4 linked regions of the Arabidopsis thaliana genome follow. The protein of the gene in region 4 purifies or fractionates together with the protein of the main gene of each other region. This does not show direct contact. Each region holds a gene or a part of one and is shown on either strand. Other genes may lie near its edges. The genes, in order: NRPB11, AT2G05830, ABCE2 and DPB.

Region 1 (3,465 bases), on a different chromosome or scaffold from region 4:
AAAAACGAAGCAGCATCCTGAACAGAGCGAGTGTGGTAGATCAAGAGGAGGAAATGAAGCTTGATGATGAATGTTTTGCTGAGTTCTACGAAAGATACATAGCTGGAGGTGGAAGAGTGTCTTACATGGAGAAGCATCTCACCAACTCCTCTGAGACTTTCACAGCTCTTAAATCACTAGATGGAGAGTATGGGCTGGTGATTGTAGGAAGAGGAGGGGGAAGAGCGAGCAGTGGGTTAACCACCGGCCTCAACGACTGGCAGCAATGTCCAGAGCTTGGTCCCATAGGTGACGTTCTTTCAGGATCAGATTTCTCACACAACACATCAATGTTAATTATTCAGCAGCAGCGTACTCGGGGTCAGCTAGAAGGGCTTCATGATGACTTCACTATACTGTGAATATCTGTACAAATGCACTTTACTTAGTAGCTTGGGAAGAGTAGTAGCTTCACCATCACAACTCTTAAAGAGACTTTGTACAATAGTTCAAACATTAAGCGGTTTATGTAGATAGAATGGTAAAAAGAAGAGGTAATCTAAGCATTACTTCATAGCATCCTGAAATGGTGTTGAAACATAGAGTTAAAAGAAGTTACAGGCCGATTTGTTTTTGATTTATACAAAGCATAACTAGGGAAAATTTCCCAAGCTCATTATTAGTCTTGATTGGTGCTTAGCAAAAGACAATGTAAAACGTTTTCCCCGATGTGCTGATGGAGAACTCCAAGTTCCTTAAAACTGATTCGAAAACTTGGCCACCTCTGCCTGAAAACACAGAAGGGTATACCATAAGACCAGGTACATCAAACAACATCAATAGCATTTGATATTCGTCTAGCTTATTAACCACATAATCAGATAAGTATATCCGAAGAGAGAAACTTATGTACCTCAAACTGGTTCTTCAAGTAGTCGAGCTCCTTGTCCAAGTCATTGATGGCCTGGTTGTATGCTTGCATTGGGGAAGACTGGCTTGTTGTGTGAATCTACATACAGAAACCACTTTCACAATTAAACAACAACATACAAGATCTTTCTATAAGTCCTTAAGCAACCAGTAATCCCAGAGGAAACTGTTAACACTAGAAGCTTAAACCAAGAAATATTCACGGTTTCCAAACAACCATACACTACTTTTAAGTTCCTAAACCAATCTTTTGGATCCTAAGGTCAATCAATGAACTGAAAAAAACGCAGAGGATAGCATTGTTCTTTCCAATTCAAAGCAACAGGCTCTACAGTAGAAGCAACTGAAAAACTTGGAACTTACCCTCACTATGATTTTGTACTTAAGAGGATGAGGAAGTTGGTATCCAGCAAACAAGACATTCTCGTCGCGATGAAGTTGCCTAAAACAAAAATTTCAGAACAGAGCTGACAAAAATTAGGGCTTTCTTCTTTCTGAGAAAAGAGTTGCAAAATCAACAAAAAGACGTACATGCGGACAATGTTTCCAATCGTATGGTCTTCTCTCTCAACCGTGAAGGAAGCAGCATTGATGATCTTCGTATCCCTATCATAAGAAACCCTAGAACATAGAAATCGAGAGGGTTTAGCACATGTAAGAGGACTATCGAGTATGATTTCGAGTGATAGAAACTTCAATTACTTCTTGGTGCCTTCAGGGACGACGAATCGCTCATATCGTTCGGGAGCATTCATGGCTTAATCGGAGATTTCAAGCTTCGCTCTCTTTTTCGCCGCAGAGAGACAGTCAAGAGTTCTTCAGTTTCTTTCTGGCAAACAAAATATAATACGACGTCGTTTTTCATAAAAGAAAAAAGATCGAATCTCCACGTGTTATATTATTATTGGTGTATACAGTTTGGGTCGGATCGGGCCGATAAAACATAATATTTCCGTTTAAGGACCTCTAGGTTTATATTATTTACACAATAAAGGACGAGTGATTTAATTCAGAAACCTAACAAAAAATTCAGGAAAAAAAGAAAAGAAGTCAGATCCCTAAAAATCGAACCCGAAAGCGTAAAACTTGAAAACCGACTATGGCCTTTCACGTAGCTTGTCCAATTACATGGTATGTTTTTTTTTCTTTCTTTTGGCGCCTCCTTTACTCGTTGGCTTGTTTGTTTTTACTAATCGAATTGTTCTAATTTGGGGGTTTTCTTCTTTCTTTCGTTCTTTCTCCGCAGCCGGAAAATTTGCTTCTGCGTTTTGGGGTTTTCTCGGAATCTTCATGGTAATGAAGTCAAGGATGTGTATCTCAAAGAGATCCATTCTCTTCAGGAGTTCGTGCGAAACCCCTGGGATGCTGAGGTTTCCAAGGACGGTACCGTTCAGATCCATGTGCCTAAGCTTGCTGTTTTCGATACTGGTCCTCGCATTGCGGCTAGAAATGTTGGTGTTGGGAGTGATTCGGCGATGGAGGTTGTTGCTGCATCATCGAATTTGGTACCAGCTAAACGCACCTTGGTGTTGCAGAAGAAGGCTGTGGAAGTTTATGCTGCGAATGATTGTTCTGGCGACTTAGAGGTTCGAATTCTTACTTGCGAAACTTGTTTTTGTGGTTAGGGGTTACTGCTATGTCAATTGAATTGAACTTGTTTATAGGAATCTGTCTTTGTGAGAAAACGTGTTTTCAGTGATGTTGATTATCTGTATCTCGTGTATGTGTTTTGGTGTTGTCCTGTCTTTTCGGGTTCTGTAATCTATGATTTATATGTAAACTACTTGTGATTTTTTGGATGATTATGAAGTCTATTCTCGTCAAGACACTAATTCAATGTTATGTCTTTCTCTATGTAGGTTTCAGTCAAAGACCTCAATGAAGAAGATCATGATCATCACAGTGCAAGCATAACATGTCACATGTGCTATTTGGTTGAAGTTGGGAAGAGTGAGAGAGCCAAGATGCTTTCTTGCAAATGTTGTGGGAAGAAGTATCATAGAAACTGCGTGAAGTCTTGGGCCCAACATAGAGGTATTGTTTCATAGGAATCTATTGTTTATGACTTATGAGTCTTTCTGCCTAGATTCTTATACCGGTTTTTGCTAGCAGATCTTTTTAATTGGAGCTCTTGGGCGTGCCCATCTTGCCGAATCTGTGAGGTATGTTCGGACACAACTTTGTGCTCAATGATTATTCTTGCTCTTTACATGCTGGGCTAGGTATGACTGCTGCTTGATTATTTGTATTCTTTTGATCATTTTTCCTTTAGGGCTGCGGGACTTTAGGGGATCCAAAAAAGTTTATGTTCTGCAAAAGATGTGATGATGCATATCATTGTGATTGCCAACATCCTCGGCACAAGGTATAGTATTTATTGCGTCTGTATAAGGTTCTTATCTTATCTTTTGCAAATTGGTTTATTTTAATCTCTGAATATTACAGAATGTTAGTTCTGGACCCTATTTGTGTCCTAAGCACACCAAATGTTACAGTTGTGAGTCTACAGTCCCTGGGAATGGCCAGAGCTTACGGTATTTAACTTTTTGCCTTGTG
Region 2 (5,155 bases), on a different chromosome or scaffold from region 4:
AAAATCACGATTTTGGTGGAAAATTTGCAGAATTACGTTTTTCCGTCAAAATCGTAAAATCGGAGAATTGTATTTTTCCCGTCAAAACCGTAAAATTTAAAAATTGCGTATTCCAGAAAATTGTGGAATACTATCTTTCCTTTAAAATCGTAAATAATTTAATAAGAAATAATTCATTAAAATTTAAAATTTTCAGAAAAGTAAAAACTTATAAATGTAAAATATATTATTTAAAAATTATTTAGTTGTAATTGTAATTAAAATTATAAAAATACAATTAAATGAAGACATGTCTATTGACTCAATTCATGCCCATGGGCAGCCCGTTGTCCATATGGTCAAGCCCATATTATCCGTGGACAAAACTGGTCATATGCCCAATTAGACCATTTGTTTTTTGGTCCAGAATATAGCTCGTCCATATGCATTTGGTCTAAAGTTCAGAATTATCAAAAAATTGATAAAGTCGAGGCATTTCGAATTGTTTGTTGACACAGAACAAGGAAAACCTCTGAAATTATTTCAATATTGACGGGTAGGAGAAACGGTATTCTTTTCTTAAACTTAAAAAAATAGAGAAATAAGAACCAAGTCAAGATGGACCGGGCAAGCCCATGGACAAGTTGTTTTACACTAAAACAAGTTGTTTCCCAATCTTCATTAGCATTAAACCCAAGACCAGCATTTTGGCTACCTACAATTGGCTAAAACGTATCGATTATTTCTTATTTTTGACAATTTTTACCACAGTGTACTTAGTAGCTCAAACATTACAAAGTAATTTGCTTTGTTGCAAGTATATAGAGAGAGGGGAACATCCGCAAGTCGCAATGCTGACTCTAACTTCAACGAGATGAGTTTCCTGTTATCTTCTTGGCAAAGCTGCTTATGTCAAATGTATCATTGCCATTCTTTGTTATGACCCCCTGCATATACAAACACGTTGAGAGATTCAAATAAATGAGCATAAATATCTTCCAGAACAAGCAAGGCTGGAAAAACGAACTTTCTCGGTTATGATTCCTGCAATCAGCTCTGCTGGAGTCATATCAAAAGCTGGGTTCCAAACTGAGATCCCTGGTGCTGCAATGCGTTCACCAAGTCCTCCGTGTGTGTGCATCAACTCCTTTGGAGATCTTTCCTCTATCACGATTTCTTTCCCGGATGAAAGTGACAGATCAACTGAGGTAAGAGGTGCAGCAACATAAAATGGGATCCCGTGATGTTTTGCGCACAAGGCGAGACTGTAAGTCCCAATCTTGTTAGCAGTATCGCCTGGAGTATATCAATGAATTGGTTAAGAAGTGATTCAGTCATAAGGAATCAGATTTGTGAGAGAAAACGGATTTATCTAAGGTGTTTGAGTGTACCATTTGAAGCCACACGATCAGCTCCAACGATGACACCATCAACACGACCATCTTTCATCAGTGCAGCTGCAGCTGAGTCTGCAATGAGAGTTGCAGGGATTTTCTCATGCACCAACTCAAACGCTGTAAGCCTCGATCCCTGTCAATTGCCATTTAGTCATAAATTCAAAAGACTTTCAACAACAGTTCAACAAGATATGAAAACTCTATAAAGCAATGGATTCAGGGAGCTGCCACAAGAAGTATCTGTCCTACGTTCCTTCATGGTTTTGAAGCTTTTACCACCGTTTTGATAAGAACACATATGTCAATATAGAGGTAATTATCGTCCCTAACAACTTAAGGTATTCTACGGATTCTTCTTCTTACGATATTGAGAAAGAAAAAGTATTAATTTAGGAGTTTTACTTGATTAAATGGACGAGTTTCTGTGCAGTATGCTCTTTCTAAGATTCCTTGAGTATGGAGTGCACGGATGACACCGAGGGCAGTACCATATCCGGCGGTAGCAAGGCTACAAAGTCAATAGAACTCGTAGTTAATGCCTTACTAGGAATCTACCACATAAACATAACACCAAAAACCATTACACAACTCTATTGGTTGAAGCTGCATACACATATGTGGTAACATGCTATTACTCAACTTGAGTAACTTATGCAGACGGTATCTATGCAATTCAGAAAATCTAGCTAAATCAATACCTGCCAGTGTTGCAATGGGTCAAAACAGAAAGCTTATCAGGATTCTTGGCTTGTTGCCTCAACAAGCTTAAACCAAAGTTTCCTATAGCTTTGTTTGAAACAACATCATCTTCAAGCATATCCTCACTAGCTTCAATATATGCCTGAAGAACAACAAGCACAGAGAATGAGCTAAACTTACAAAAGCAAAAGGCACACACACAGATGAATTACGAAACTTCTTGATACCTTGAAAATGGATTTGGCTTCGGTGGCAGTAGCCAAGGCCTTTGCTATAACATGTTTAAGTTTCAAAGCAGCATCTGCAAGATTAACTGCTGTTGGACGGCTGAAGAAACAAACATAAAAAGCAAAAGACATTAGAGTAAGCACCAAAGATGCAAAACTTAACTAACAAATCCAAAATCTAACCTTGACACTAAATAATCCAACTTGTTCTCAAGAAAAGCAACAGCATCTGAAGCTGATCCATCAAAACCATGAAAGTTGAAAACTTCAACAGCCAAAGAAAGAGCAGCAGCAATAGCTATAGCAGGAGCACCACGTACAACCATTTCCTGAATAGCACTCCTACCAAAAGTATCAAACTTTTTAAACCACAATTTTCCCAAAACAATCTCTAATCATAAAGGTAAAGACTTTACCATCCATCTGAAGCATCACGAATCTCTAAGTAAATAGTCTCTAAAGGAAGCTTCCTCTGTTCCAATTCAGACGAGTAAACAGATTTGAGGAAAAAAAGTATAAATTTGAAAACTTTATAGAAGTGAAAGAGAGAACCTGATCGAGTAACTGGAGAGAGCCAGGCTTGTAACAGATAGCTTTGAGGGTCGTGTCTCCTTCGCCGGACATGGTAGGACTTGTTGGAGAAATCTTGAAGACGAATAAGTTGTTTTAAAGATTGGTTTAGAGAAAGAGGAACAAAAGGAAAAGGATTTGTGTCAGTAGTGATAGTGAGAATCAGATAGATGCCTAGAGCACCAAGCCGGCGTGAAACACACCAACCGACGTCGTTTTGTCTGGAATAATGGTAGATATATTTTAGTTAATTTAGGGCGTGAAACAAGCTGGTTTTAAACAAATTAAAAGTGATTATTGTTTATAGTTCTTTAGGAGCAGACTGCTTATCTACCTGTAACCTTTTTAGAACACATGTGCTTTTAAAATATTTTAAGAAACTAATAGTAGTTCTTTAAATTGTAATCACTTATTGTTGTGGGTTAATACTTTATGATTATCTAAATATCAGTTTTTAAATTTTAATTTAATTTTAAGATTACTAAAATATTATTTGATTATATATCATATATGATTTAATGTTATTTAAATTAATAATCCTCCCTTTAAAATTGATAGAAGTTTAATTTTATTATTACACCCAAAATAATTTTAATAGAATATAAATAAATAAATAAAATATATGTATTCATAATTTCGACATATTTTGGTCGGCAAAAACCATAAGGCATAGTGATATACTCAAACTTCATCAATTTTATTTCGGGTGCTTACAAAAAAAAAAACTTCATAAAATGTATAAGGTTCCTTTAACTAATATTTTTTTTTTCTTTCAATGCTTTGTCAAGCGTTTTTTCCTCGATATCAAAGCCGGATTCAGAGTATTCGATTTCACAAAACAAAATTGTCTTTGACAATATCTGATGTGGTGATGTGAAGTCCTAAAGTATTTTTTTCCTTGGAATCCTGTGTAGATTGTAGAGCAGACAATTGAAAAAAATTATTAGTTTTATCATATCTCATTCTAATTGAACCAGTAATGAAAACGAAAGTGACTACTTCTAAATTCTAATTTACAAAAAAAATGTATCATAAGAAATATCGTAAACGCCTACAAATAGGTTTCATTCCTATCGTTTCTCATGTTATGATTAAAAAATTAATCATAAGAGATATGGATATGAACTATATATCAAAATAATGGAAGTAAATAAAGAGAAATGAAAATTATTCAAAATTACTTATGAAAACAAACTTTGGAGAATTAGGCATGTTTTTTCTATCTTGTTTGCTACAAATGATTGGTGAATAAGAACTATATTCCCAGAAATTTTTGGGATACCTTTAATCTCTCGTGTCTGCAAAATAGTCGGCACAACAAATAAAAAATACCAGAAAATCAGAATTATTATTAGTTTATCAACAAACAAAAAACGTTTCGGAAGCATTTCGACAAACAGTTGGTAGACAAAACTTTTAGCACACGTATGAGATGGTTTTAAAATCATTCGAAAAGGGCCAACGAAGTCTTTTCAACTACATATCCTTGTGATTATATATTTTTAATTCACGGTAACCAATAAAAAAAGTTTAATGCATTTTTATGAGTAATGAAAAGAGTAATTTGACAAGTGAGAAGTTAGATGTCAAACTAAAAATAAGCATTTCTTTTAGCTCAGAAAGTAATCATCTATAGTAGAAAAAGGTTTTTTCTGAACAAACAAACTCACAATGTTGTCAAATTTTCCTTTTTTTCTTCTGAATTACATTATTTCAATTGCCAAACATAATAGAAATTCATTATTCTATTTAACCAGTAACCAAACACACCTAAATTTATTCTGTTACCTGAAAAACTTAAGCGGGACTGGTGCGGGTTTAGGTACAATAACTAAAAATATTTTGTATATGTTTTTAATTATAATTTATTTTTAATAACATAAATAAATTTAAAAATAAATGAATCATGGATGTGATCGCATTTTCGCTTCATTTCTCTGCTTTTATTAGGGCTTTGTTTCTTCGCTAGGCCTCTTTCATTTCGCATAGCCATCTCTCTCTCTTCTGCCTTTTTTGACTCATTGTTCCATTAACTCTTCTCGAGACACAAAACAAACATCAAATCAAGTTAATTAACAATAATCTCTTTTTCTATTGTAGATGAAGAAGAATGTATGATGAAACTCCTCTGTCAAAAAGTAAAAAAAAACAGAACACAAGGTAAAATTATCGAAATTGTTGGAGATTTTTTTTTGCTATGCCATCTTATTTTAAATGGCAGTCAATTGTATTTAAAACGGATTTTCTAATTCAAACTTATAATTAATTTTCTGTTAGTTTCGA
Region 3 (6,526 bases), on a different chromosome or scaffold from region 4:
AGATTATGTCTTAGATTTGCCAAATGTTAAGTTTGTTTGATCTTTGACAAAATATTGTAGGTTTAAAGTAAAAAAGCAATGGGAGGTGGTAAAGACAAGCATCATGATGAGCAAGAGAAAGGATTTCATGGTTTTCCAGGAGGTGGACATTACCCACCTGCTCAAGGAGGTTACCCTCCTCAAGGTTACCCACCACAACAAGGGTATCCTCCAGCTGGAGGCTACCCACCTGCCGGATATCCTCCTGGTGCTTACCCTGCTGCGCCCGGTGGTTATCCTCCTGCACCTGGAGGTTACCCTCCTGCTGGCTATCCTGCACCTGGAGCTCACCATTCAGGTATGCATTGTCTCGTTAAAGAGCTCTTCTTTGTAGTTTTGGTAAATGTTGATGTTTTCTATGCAAAAGCTATGGAGTGTCCTTGTAGCTTGCTTGGATTATCAACCTGCTAAATATTGTTAATCATTGAATGTTAATAGGAAAAGACTTTATAAATGTTTCGGTTTTCTATGAAAAAAGCTAAAGATTGTGCGTGAAGTTTGCTGGATCATTAACCTTCGAACTTTGAATGATAATAGAACAATAGTTTGTAAATCTTACTGTTTTCTTTGTAAATAAAGCTTAGAACTGGCCTTGTTGTTTGCTGGATTATCAGCCTGCTAAGTATTGTCAAGTTTGAATGATAGTATGACAATTGTTTCTGAAATGTTGTTTTTTTTTCTGTGATAAAAAGATGAGGACATATAAACTTACTGTCTTCTGTTTTGGTGTATACATTGATGTTTTAATTTTAAATCTACTAGGAGTACATGTTTAATCGTGTGTGCTTATCAATATGCAACTTTGTGGTCTCTTATATGCATTCTGCTACTTTGTGGTTCTCCATGTAATACTATTTTCTTTTTTCCATCAGGACATTCTGGTGGTGGACTCGGAGGCATGATAGCAGGTGCAGCTGGTGCAGCCGCAGCAGCTTATGGAGCTCACCATGTTGGTCACGCCTCTCACAACCCTTACGGGCATGCTGTAGGACATGGAGGGTATGGCCATGCCCCTGCTCATGGCTTTGGCCATGGTGGTCATGGTAAATTCAAGCACGGAAAGCATGGAGGCAAATTCAAGCACGGAAAGCATGGAAAGCACGGGAAACATGGCATGTTTGGAGGAGGAGGCAAATTCAAGAAGTGGAAGTAATCTCAAAAACCCCACCTTTGATCCTCTCCTCCAGTATAGTCTCATTACCTGACCGATGTTTCTAATAATCCCCCTTCAAACATATTTCATTTTAACTATGTCGGTTTAGAGATTACTGGTTGAGGAAATAATTGGAGAGTGCTAGTATAAACCTTATGGTATCTGCAGCAGAGGTTTCTTTAATCTCTCAATAGTAGATGCTTTGAAACTTATCTATAATTTGGTATTGTAATGACAGTTTGTGTTTGGTTTTTTCTTCAGTATCTTCTTTGTTTGATCATTTGATGTTGGTGGAGTTCTCCAAAATATTTATGCTATTGTAGATCCTAACCTTTCTATCTTGTTATTCTTCGTTTTTTGGCCATTATTTTCGTTTCGCTCCCGATCCAAATTCCAAAGTACTTCAACAATATCTTATGCAATAACGAGACAAACACTTAAGGTCGTGCAAGAATAGTGTCTGTTTTTCACTGATTCACTTTTACAGAGAACAAACTGAATTAATTTTGATTATTGAATAGTTGACATGCAATAATATTTGTTAATCCAAATGAATAGATAAAAAAAAAAATTCCTTGAGAGTAAAGAAACTAAATTTTGGAAGACAATTTTTAACTAGTTTTCTCTAAAACTAGGAAAGTCAGAAAATGAGAAAACAAATTTGATTTTATTACGGAAGTGAAGGGCTTTCCGACAAATTGCTTTGCTCAGACCAAACTGTAACCGACCCAAGCCCAATAAAAAAGCGAATCGGGTCAAACGAAAACAGATAATTCAGAAAACCCTAAATTCGTTTCTCTTTTTTTTTCTTCATTCTGAGCAAAGCAGTAACTCTCAGGTGCGTGTGCTCTCCGCTGGTTCCTTAGAACAATCGGCACACGCTTTTTCATTTCAATCTTCTTCTTCTACTCTTAAGTATCTCAGGTACTAATCTCGATTTCTCTATTTCTCGTCCATGGAGATTTAGATTTCAAGTCAGATGCTTTTCGATTTGTTACAGATGTATAATTTTTGTAATCGATTGATTCGCAGCTTGGATTGTATTGAGCCATCGACATACCTTCAAAATTCTTATAATTGTATTGAAAGTGTTTGAATTTAATGTTTTTTTTTTTCTTTCTCTCGATTGTTTTGATTTCTGGGCAAGTGTCAACTTTTGTAACAGATTAGTGACCTTTCTCTTTATAGATATGTGGAAGAATTTGGAATTTACAAATTCGGTTCACCATTTTTATCTGAAGCACTGAATTTGCGTTTTTCAAGCTTGAGTGAATATTATTTCTTGGCTCTTAAGATTTTGCATGTCAACTATTATTTCATCATTGTTAGCATCTTGTGGTGTTCAAGTTATTATTTTAAATATTGTTTGTGCTACTCTATAGTTATTCCCTATGTTGTTATTTCGTTCCTTTGCCTTAGCGTGACATCTTTATTTGGTATATTTGTATCTGTGTGATTTAGTTTCTTCAGGCTGTTAAACTATAGATTTCATGTATTTTGTAGGTCTGTTGAGAGATGGCAGATCGATTGACACGTATTGCTATTGTGAGTTCAGACCGTTGCAAGCCAAAGAAATGTCGCCAAGAGTGCAAGAAGAGTTGTCCTGTGGTCAAGACAGGTGTATATTTTTATTCCAAATTTGGATCTGTGGTCTTTCATGTGGATTTATTATTATTGTACTGTAATTGATTAGCTTTGTTATGTGCGTCATGCCAATTAGTAGACAGAGAATGGTTAGGTGTTTATGTGAAGCCATTAGCTTATAGTTCCTACTTGAAGTTGTTGTAACTCTACAAATTTTTAGTGCCACTTGTTCATTAACTTGCCTTTTATCTTAGGAAAACTTTGTATTGAGGTGACTGTTGGTTCCAAGCTTGCTTTTATCTCAGAGGAGTTGTGTATCGGTTGCGGTATTTGTGTGAAGGTATGTATGCATAGGCTCTTTCCGATATCCAAGATGCCTCTAGAAATGGCACCTAAACTGGGATGCTAAATGACTCTGTTGTTACACAATTGCAGAAATGCCCGTTTGAAGCTATTCAGATTATCAATCTTCCAAGAGACTTGGAGAAAGATACGACCCATCGTTATGGGGCAAACACTTTTAAGTTACACAGGTTCGTTTATCTACTATTTTTCCTGAAACAAATTGACCGCTCTTGTAGTTTTCAGACAATGAAATCTTTGTCTTTACTTCCAGGCTCCCAGTTCCAAGACCAGGGCAGGTGCTAGGGTTGGTTGGAACCAATGGTATTGGAAAATCAACTGCTCTGAAAATTTTGGCTGGAAAGCTCAAACCAAATTTGGGCCGTTTCACTGTAATAGCCTCTCTTGAGTTTCTAAACTTTTATCTTCGAAATTTGGTCTCTTTCATAGTTGATGTGTTCATATATTCCTTGTTGAACAGAGTCCTCCAGACTGGCAAGAAATCTTGACTCACTTCCGTGGTTCAGAACTTCAAAACTACTTCACACGTATTCTAGAAGATAATCTTAAGGTACAGTTGAAACTGATATTAATATTTTTCTCCATGAGGTAGCTAGGTATTATTTGATGTTTAAGCAGCTCAATTGAGCAAGTTCTGATACCCTGTGCATGGCAGGCCATTATAAAGCCTCAATATGTCGACCACATCCCAAGAGCAGTTAAAGGCAATGTTGGAGAGGTCCTTGACCAGAAGGATGAGAGAGATAAGAAGGCAGAGCTCTGTGCTGATCTGGAGCTGAACCAGGTCATTGACCGTGATGTTGAGAATTTATCTGGTGGTGAGCTGCAGAGGTTTGCAATCGCTGTTGTTGCCATACAAAATGCAGAGATTTACATGTTTGATGAACCATCTAGTTACCTCGATGTTAAGCAAAGACTCAAAGCTGCTCAAGTTGTTCGTTCTCTCCTGAGGCCTAATAGGTTTGAATTTCCCAGCTTCTGAAGTTTTTTTTTCAAAAGGGATAAAAAATAAGGTACTTACATTGTTTTTTTTTTGTTTTTTTTTTGTTTCCCAGCTACGTCATTGTTGTGGAGCATGATCTCAGTGTTCTTGATTACTTGTCGGATTTCATTTGCTGTCTGTATGGGAAACCAGGAGCCTATGGTGTGGTGACTCTCCCCTTCTCTGTCAGAGAAGGAATCAACATTTTCTTGGCTGGATTTGTTCCTACAGAAAATTTACGTTTTAGAGATGAATCTTTGACCTTCAAGGTATAGATATTTTGTATGATGAAAGGCAAAGTTTTGTCGCCAAGGCAATAAATTGTTTTCCTCAATGTTTTTCTTTTGTTTGAAGGTTGCTGAGACTCCACAAGAAAGTGCTGAAGAGATACAGTCGTACGCTAGGTACAAATACCCCACGATGACCAAAACTCAAGGAAACTTCAGGTTGAGAGTGTCGGAAGGTGAATTCACTGACTCTCAGATTATTGTAATGCTTGGGGAGAATGGTACAGGGAAGACAACATTTATTCGGATGCTGGTATTCTCTTCTTCCATGATATGTTCTCTTGTGGTTAGAGTTTTAGAAAGTACTGTACTGTAAAGTTGTAATATTGGTAATATTTGCAGGCCGGGTTGTTGAAACCAGACGACACAGAAGGACCAGACAGAGAGATACCAGAATTCAATGTTTCGTATAAGCCACAAAAGATCAGCCCAAAGTTTCAGAATTCAGTTAGGCACCTGCTACATCAAAAGATTCGAGATTCTTACATGCATCCACAATTTATGTCGGATGTGATGAAACCACTTCAGATTGAGCAGTTGATGGATCAAGAAGTTGTCAATCTCTCAGGAGGAGAATTGCAAAGGGTTGCATTAACTCTGTGCCTCGGAAAGGTAATTATTTTGTTTCAGACGTCTATATGACGTAGTTGCTTTCTTTCTCTCAGTGATCTCATGCATCCACAATGTGAATTCTTACAGCCTGCGGATATATACCTGATCGATGAGCCAAGTGCATATCTCGATTCTGAGCAACGTATTGTTGCTTCTAAAGTCATAAAGCGATTTATTCTCCACGCAAAGAAAACTGCATTTGTAGTCGAGCATGACTTTATAATGGCGACCTATTTGGCAGACCGGGTCATTGTGTATGAAGGACAACCATCCATTGATTGTACTGCAAATTGTCCTCAATCACTGCTCAGTGGAATGAATCTCTTCTTATCTGTAAGTCTCCTATTATATCTCTTAGTTACACCGTATGGGCAAGAGAAGAGGGCATAAAGGTTTGGTGCTAATGATTCCTATTTTATGTTTTTCGTTACCATGCAGCATCTGAACATCACATTCAGACGGGATCCCACCAATTTCAGACCAAGAATCAACAAATTGGAGTCGACCAAAGACAGGGAACAGAAGTCTGCAGGCTCATACTACTACTTGGATGATTAGGACAACTACCAAGAGGTTCTTGATCACTAAAATCCAATCATGTTTTCTCAATCATACAACGTTTTATGGAATCAACATCTAAAATGTTTGTTTTCTCTTAATGTCCTTCAATGGATTCACAGAATATAGGGCATTGTTCGAATTCCAGAAGGGTCTTTTGCTCAGAGGAAGTTGATCTATGAGCTCGGAATATTTTACGCAGCCATCTGTTTTCCGAGTGCATAAGCACAGATGTTTCTTTCTGGTCAAGCTTTTAATTGTTGTTTCATCAGTTTTACTTCTACATTTTCTCTCTCACAGCTTTTATTAACTGAGCAATAAAAGTTTAAGAATCTGTAACCTTTTTTTCTTTTTGGCTTTGTACTTCCTGAGTTGATGATTTCAACATTTACTGTGATGTTACTACTTTGGATTTTACAATCTATTGCCTATTTTTACATTATTTTCTTTCTTCTTACACAGCGTCTAACTCACTGATATAGGAAAACTTCAAGAAACAGTATCTAAACACCTAACGTCAATAACACTGTAACCAGGAAGCTTTTTCAAGGCATTATCCTCCACCATCTTCCGTAGTCTTACAGCTTCTTCCCAACCTCCCAATCCAACATAAGTATTTGCCAACGAGATGTAATAAGATGCATTGTCTGGTTCCATTTCAAACAAAACTTCTGCAACTTCTTTTCCCAACTTTGTATCCCCATGATAGTTGCAAGCGCTCAACAACGCTCCCCATACACCTGCTTTTTGTGGCTCACCAATCCCTGTGATGAACTCATAAGCTTCTCTCAGTTTCCCTGCCCGGCCAAGCATGTCAACAATCCAAACCCGATGCTCAGTAACTGGTTTAACCCCAAATTTTTCCTCCATTTGCTTGTAATAACTTAGACCTTCATCAATAAACCCAGAGTGGCTGCAAGCTGACAACAGGCTTATGAAACTGCTCTT
Region 4 (5,404 bases):
GCTTTACTGCTTTGAAGATAGGGGTAATCGCCGTGTAGCATTGAGGCCTGAGCTTACACCTTCTTTAGCGAGGCTTGTCATACAGAAAGGGTAACTAATGCAGAATTTTCTCTCAAGCCTTGAGAATTGTCCTTATTCTTCAATGAGCGGTTTATTTATTTTTGTTTGTAAAAATTCTGTATCAGGTAAGGATGTGAGAATGTTGATTCCCATATTCTTTTTGGTCCAGAAAATCTGTTTCCCTTCCATTGAAGTGGTTTGCTGTTGGGCAGTGTTGGAGATATGAGAGAATGACACGAGGAAGGCGACGTGAGCATTACCAGTGGAATATGGATATTATTGGTGTGCCTGAAGTTACAGTATGTATCTCTCATACCTTTAATCACTTTAGGCCTTCTAGTTTTTTGTTATATGAACCTGATCTGTGTTTAAAGTCTCTATAAGCCGGCTAATTTGGTTCACAAACCTTTTCTTTTAGGCTGAAGCAGAACTAATTTCATCTATAATGACATTCTTCAAGCGAATTGGAATCACTGCATCAGATGTGGGTTTTAAGGTTTCAAGCCGCAAGGTATTTTTGCTTACGTTCTCTTTTGATGTGATATGATCATTTTGTTTCTTGGTTTACACTCTAGATACAGAACCAAGTAACTCACTTGCAATGCTAAACATGAGTTGAGATTATTTTGCACGATCTGCAGCATCTGAATATCCACTGTAGCTAACATCTCCCATAACTTCTTCCTTGTACAGGTTTTACAAGAATTTTTAAAAAAGTATGGTGTACCCGAAGACCTGTTTGGAAGAGTTTGCTTCATTATAGACAAGGTTAGCAATCTAAACATCAATTAACAGCTGCTTTGTTGCCAGAATTGGGACAAGAAGTAGAGAACATCGTGTGTGCTTTGGACAAAGATCTCCAAGGAGCTGCAACCACCATTGCAACCGCTCTTAAAGACAAAGGGCAAACCGTTGATTTAGTATTGGAGAGTAAACCGCTGAAATGGGTGTTCAAGAGAGCGGCTCGGGTAAACGCAAGAAGGCCGGTTCTGGTTGGGAAGTTGGTTCGGTCAGTGTCAAGGTTTTGTCTTCAGGTGAGCAATTTCAAGTCAAACTTGATGACTTGGAGTAGTAGTATCTAAGGCTTGAACAAATTGTTCAATTGTCCTTTTTTTCAAAAGCAATTGAGTTGAGATTGGATTTTTATTTTGTCCTCAAAGGTTTCATTAAGAATTTTATTGATGGATCTTCAATACTCGTTTATTCGTCTAATAGTGATTTACAAAATATACTTTTTGACTTCGAATCAGCCACATGTGGCATGTGATTTTTATTTCAAACCGAGAAATGCTAAAAAGAAAAGAAAATGTGCCTTTCGTGAACCTTAAGCTACATTATCACATAATCTTCGGAACTAGAAAAACTCTTTTGCTCCAGTTTTAGTAATGAAAGAGGATGAACATGATATGTTTATATTTCCTAAAAGCTCAAATCTTATCAACACTAGAATGAGTAAATTTCATATAATGAAAATTCATATCGAATGTGATTGACTAGTGGTATCAACCACACATGTTTTTAACTTTTTGACTTGATCATCCATCTACATTATGATGTATCAATGTATGTTTTTTATATTTGTTTTCATGCTTATTAAAGCCATATAAACATATTTTGGTAGATAATTCCAGTATTTAGCCAACAAAAGAAGAAGACGAAGATAATTTTAGTGTTTAGCCAAAATAAAAATAAAAAGATAATTCCAGTATTATATTCTGATTAACAAAAGACCTAAATTTCACTAAAGAGAATTAATCTTTTGGTAAAATAAAAAAAAAGTAAAGAAAATTATCTTCTTTAACTTTTTGTTTTTTTTTCACCTATGAGTCAGTTTGGTCCCTCTCTCTCTCTCTCATTGTGGACATCTTTTCACCATCGCACAAATAACAAGCCTCCCAACCCCGATCGACTTATCCTCCTCCTTCTCCGGCGAAATCCATTAACTCTCCGCCGCGAAAACCACCTTTCCAGAGTAGTATCACACTAAGAATTCTAATGTTGATCCGCCATTATTGAAGCTTCTAATTCTCGTTAATAACCAAAAACCCAAGTCGATTTTCAAGGTCAGTACTCAAAATCTGGGTTTTCGTCAAAATCAGAAACTTTCCTTGACAAATTTTAACAAATCTCTTTCTCGTTTTCTATTGAATTCTCCAGTAGCGCGGTAGTTAGTTTTAGGTGGAAGAAGAATGACAACTACTGGGTCTAATTCTAATCACAACCACCATGAAAGCAATAATAACAACAATAACCCTAGTACTAGGTCTTGGGGCACGGCGGTTTCAGGTCAATCTGTGTCTACTAGCGGCAGTATGGGCTCTCCGTCGAGCCGGAGTGAGCAAACCATCACCGTTGTTACATCTACTAGCGACACTACTTTTCAACGCCTGAATAATTTGGACATTCAAGGTGATGATGCTGGTTCTCAAGGAGCTTCTGGGTATGTAAACCACCTCAATTCTGTGATTTTTATATTAAAAGGCTTTGATGTGTTTATTGTGATGTTTGGTTTAGCGATTTTTAGGGTTTTCATTCTATTGCAATGGCTGCTTTTATGAGCTTAATGAATATATGAAACTGAACCAGTAGATGTAAGTATGATGTGTGGATCATACTTTTACAAGCTTGAATTTGGCTCTCCTGATATGTATTAGTCTAAAATCTACTAATAATCTGCATATTTGAATACTCATCTTTCCTATCCTTATTGGGACAAAAGATACTGTTTAGGCCATTGTCTTTGTGCGTTAATTTTTGTGTGGAAGTTGTTACATGTGTTCTGTGTAGTTTAGTTGATCATATAATCTATTTACAGTGTTAAGAAGAAGAAGAGGGGACAGCGTGCGGCTGGTCCAGATAAGACTGGAAGAGGACTACGTCAATTTAGTATGAAAGGTCTTATCTCTTTCTCTGCCCCTATTATGCTTTCATCTAAATGCCTTTCAAGTTTCTAGCTATGAATTGTGTGGATAATGCCTCTTAAGATTGGTTATACATTTAACTGATATTATGTTCGTCTGGCCTTCCTTTCAGTTTGTGAAAAGGTGGAAAGCAAAGGAAGGACAACTTACAATGAGGTACGGTAGTTTCCTTTTTAAACAAAAAGCTTCACAGTATTTATGCTTTGCAAGATCCATTCACTTCTGTTTATGTTATATGATGATACTGATTTATTGTGCTTACCAGTGTGATTAAACACTTGTCAAGATCACATATGGGAATATCAATTTGTCTCATGATTAGTACTGCAAACGTGTAGCTCTGTAATACGGTATCTAACAGGTGATAGTACTTTCAGGTTGCAGACGAGCTTGTTGCTGAATTTGCACTTCCAAATAACGATGGAACATCCCCTGATCAGGTATGCGTTTCTTCGATAGTTTCTACCCTGGAACGTGTGCAATACTCGTTGTGAACTCTGATGAAATTATATCATGTGAAAACGTTTTACCAGCAACAGTATGATGAGAAAAACATAAGACGAAGAGTATATGATGCTTTAAACGTCCTCATGGCTATGGATATAATATCCAAGGATAAAAAAGAAATTCAATGGAGAGGTCTTCCTCGGACAAGCTTAAGCGACATTGAAGAATTAAAGGTTTCAACCACATATTCTATGTGCAGATGTTCCATAGCTTGTTTAGAGAATTTTCCTGAATTTGAATTATTTTGTTTTGCAGAACGAACGACTCTCACTTAGGAACAGAATTGAGAAGAAAACTGCATATTCCCAAGAACTGGAAGAACAAGTAATGAACATCATCGATACTCTCGGCTTATCTGCTTCCTGTTACTTTTATCATAGATTCTTACATGGTCCTTCTATCATCTCTGTGTATGTCTGAAAGTATGTAGGCCTTCAGAATCTGATACAGAGAAATGAGCACTTATATAGCTCAGGAAATGCTCCCAGTGGCGGTGTTGCTCTTCCTTTTATCCTTGTCCAGGTAAACTTCACCAACAGCTTCGTATGATCTTAGATTGATCCACAAGGAAACCTCAGAAAAATGAAAAAATCACCTGATTGTTGTTGTTTCTCTGCACCAGACTCGTCCTCACGCAACAGTAGAAGTGGAGATATCAGAAGATATGCAGCTCGTGCATTTTGATTTCAACAGGTAAAATCCAAACACCAGATTTGATCTCTTTTCAGCTAATATATCTATGGAACCGATTACTGACACTGTGACAACTGTTTTCACTATTTGCAGCACTCCATTTGAGCTCCACGACGACAATTTTGTCCTCAAGACTATGAAGTTTTGTGATCAACCGCCGCAACAACCAAACGGTCGGAACAACAGCCAGCTGGTTTGTCACAATTTCACGCCAGAAAACCCTAACAAAGGCCCCAGCACAGGTCCAACACCGCAGCTGGATATGTACGAGACTCATCTTCAATCGCAACAACATCAGCAGCATTCTCAGCTACAAATCATTCCTATGCCTGAGACTAACAACGTTACTTCCAGCGCTGATACTGCTCCAGTGAAATCCCCGTCTCTTCCAGGGATAATGAACTCCAGCATGAAGCCGGAGAATTGAAACACGTATGAAGGCCCCTTGTACAATTTCTGTAAAACTGTAAAGTAGCTCTTGAAAAACTTTACCTGGTTTTTTGACGAATAGTCTGTTTAGCGGTAAATGTACCGGTGGTTTATCGAATCTAGGATCCTTGTCGGGTTTAGCGATTTTAAGAATCTTTGCCATAGGAAAAAAAAAACACTTTGCTCTGTGGTGTAGAAATGAATTTTATTAACCATTTGGATTAGTCCATGTTCGGTTCTGTTATTCGGAAACCCGGTTATGGACTTCAATTTTGGAAATTACGAAACTGAACTAATCGATTTCCGGTTTTGTTGAACCGAAATCCGGTTAAAATATTACCATATCAATCATATCATTAGAAATGTAGTTCTGTTTCATGTAATTCGGTCTGAATGTTAATAAATGCTGGGAACATCGGAGCTTGAGAAAGTCCGGCCATGGCGACGATTTCTCAGATACCTTTCTCTATCTCCTTCCCTTGTTTCGAATTTCGGAAACCATCGTTCTACTATCATCAGCCTCAACTTTTTGTTTCGTACTTGAATTCCACGAAGAAGCATAGTTTTATCTGTTTCGCATGTTCCACCAAACAAACCAGGTTCGAAATTTCTCGTCGTTTTTTTTTTTGGTTTTTGCTTCGATCTGTGGAAAATTGGAGACAGCAGACGTACTTCAATTATTGTTTTGGTTAATTGGTCTGCTTGAATTGAATTTGAACAGAGTTCGTAAGAGAGTGAAGAGCAATGAGGAGCTTCGGAGTGAGATTATGCAGTTCGTTGCTTTGGCTGGGCTT

What was found.
Region 1: the proteins of DPB (region 4) and NRPB11 purify together in Arabidopsis thaliana (affinity purification with mass spectrometry, with the first as the bait; one large-scale study listed by BioGRID). This does not show direct contact.
Region 2: the proteins of DPB (region 4) and AT2G05830 purify together in Arabidopsis thaliana (affinity purification with mass spectrometry, with the first as the bait; one large-scale study listed by BioGRID). This does not show direct contact.
Region 3: the proteins of DPB (region 4) and ABCE2 purify together in Arabidopsis thaliana (affinity purification with mass spectrometry, with the first as the bait; one large-scale study listed by BioGRID). This does not show direct contact.

The regions. Positions count from the first base shown.
Region 1 is NC_003074.8:19,317,335-19,320,799, forward strand, and holds NRPB11 (DNA-directed RNA polymerase, RBP11-like protein), read right to left. Parts: upstream 1,790-3,465; 5' UTR 1,665-1,789; coding exon 1,612-1,664; intron 1,531-1,611; coding exon 1,441-1,530; intron 1,352-1,440; coding exon 1,273-1,351; intron 1,167-1,272; coding exon 1,077-1,166; intron 989-1,076; coding exon 893-988; intron 768-892; coding exon 735-767; 3' UTR 515-734; downstream 1-514. Other genes in the region: chx28 (cation/hydrogen exchanger 28), read left to right, coding at 1-401; AT3G52100 (RING/FYVE/PHD-type zinc finger family protein), read left to right, coding at 2,009-2,040, 2,156-2,495, 2,574-2,627, 2,769-2,943, 3,022-3,071, 3,182-3,274, 3,355-3,443.
Region 2 is NC_003071.7:2,227,530-2,232,684, reverse strand, and holds AT2G05830 (NagB/RpiA/CoA transferase-like superfamily protein), read right to left. Parts: upstream 3,147-5,155; 5' UTR 2,927-3,146; coding exon 2,855-2,926; exon of another isoform or gene 2,775-2,854; coding exon 2,719-2,774; intron 2,645-2,718; coding exon 2,486-2,644; intron 2,403-2,485; coding exon 2,303-2,402; intron 2,218-2,302; coding exon 2,075-2,217; intron 1,885-2,074; coding exon 1,779-1,884; intron 1,510-1,778; coding exon 1,371-1,509; intron 1,276-1,370; coding exon 1,007-1,275; intron 927-1,006; coding exon 846-926; 3' UTR 536-845; downstream 1-535. UniProt on the Arabidopsis thaliana protein: Catalyzes the interconversion of methylthioribose-1-phosphate (MTR-1-P) into methylthioribulose-1-phosphate (MTRu-1-P).
Region 3 is NC_003075.7:10,499,199-10,505,724, forward strand, and holds ABCE2 (RNAse l inhibitor protein 2), read left to right. Parts: upstream 1-1,924; 5' UTR 1,925-2,116; intron 2,117-2,695; 5' UTR 2,696-2,707; coding exon 2,708-2,810; intron 2,811-3,030; coding exon 3,031-3,116; intron 3,117-3,211; coding exon 3,212-3,309; intron 3,310-3,392; coding exon 3,393-3,510; intron 3,511-3,599; coding exon 3,600-3,689; intron 3,690-3,794; coding exon 3,795-4,099; intron 4,100-4,194; coding exon 4,195-4,390; intron 4,391-4,475; coding exon 4,476-4,661; intron 4,662-4,750; coding exon 4,751-5,020; intron 5,021-5,107; coding exon 5,108-5,353; intron 5,354-5,458; coding exon 5,459-5,578; 3' UTR 5,579-5,593; intron 5,594-5,700; 3' UTR 5,701-6,019; downstream 6,020-6,526. Other genes in the region: AT4G19200 (proline-rich family protein), read left to right, coding at 79-337, 912-1,192; AT4G19220 (Tetratricopeptide repeat (TPR)-like superfamily protein), read right to left, coding at 6,068-6,526.
Region 4 is NC_003076.8:840,593-845,996, forward strand, and holds DPB (Transcription factor DP), read left to right. Parts: upstream 1-1,895; 5' UTR 1,896-2,123; intron 2,124-2,217; 5' UTR 2,218-2,249; coding exon 2,250-2,500; intron 2,501-2,875; coding exon 2,876-2,955; intron 2,956-3,093; coding exon 3,094-3,137; intron 3,138-3,358; coding exon 3,359-3,421; intron 3,422-3,514; coding exon 3,515-3,661; intron 3,662-3,743; coding exon 3,744-3,812; intron 3,813-3,911; coding exon 3,912-4,010; intron 4,011-4,110; coding exon 4,111-4,181; intron 4,182-4,274; coding exon 4,275-4,608; 3' UTR 4,609-4,862; downstream 4,863-5,404. Other genes in the region: AT5G03406 (Class II aaRS and biotin synthetases superfamily protein), read left to right, coding at 2-90, 230-359, 479-571, 754-852; AT5G03420 (5'-AMP-activated protein kinase-like protein), read left to right, coding at 5,049-5,209, 5,332-5,404. UniProt on the Arabidopsis thaliana protein: Involved in the regulation of the G1/S transition. Increases the DNA binding activity of E2F proteins after heterodimerization.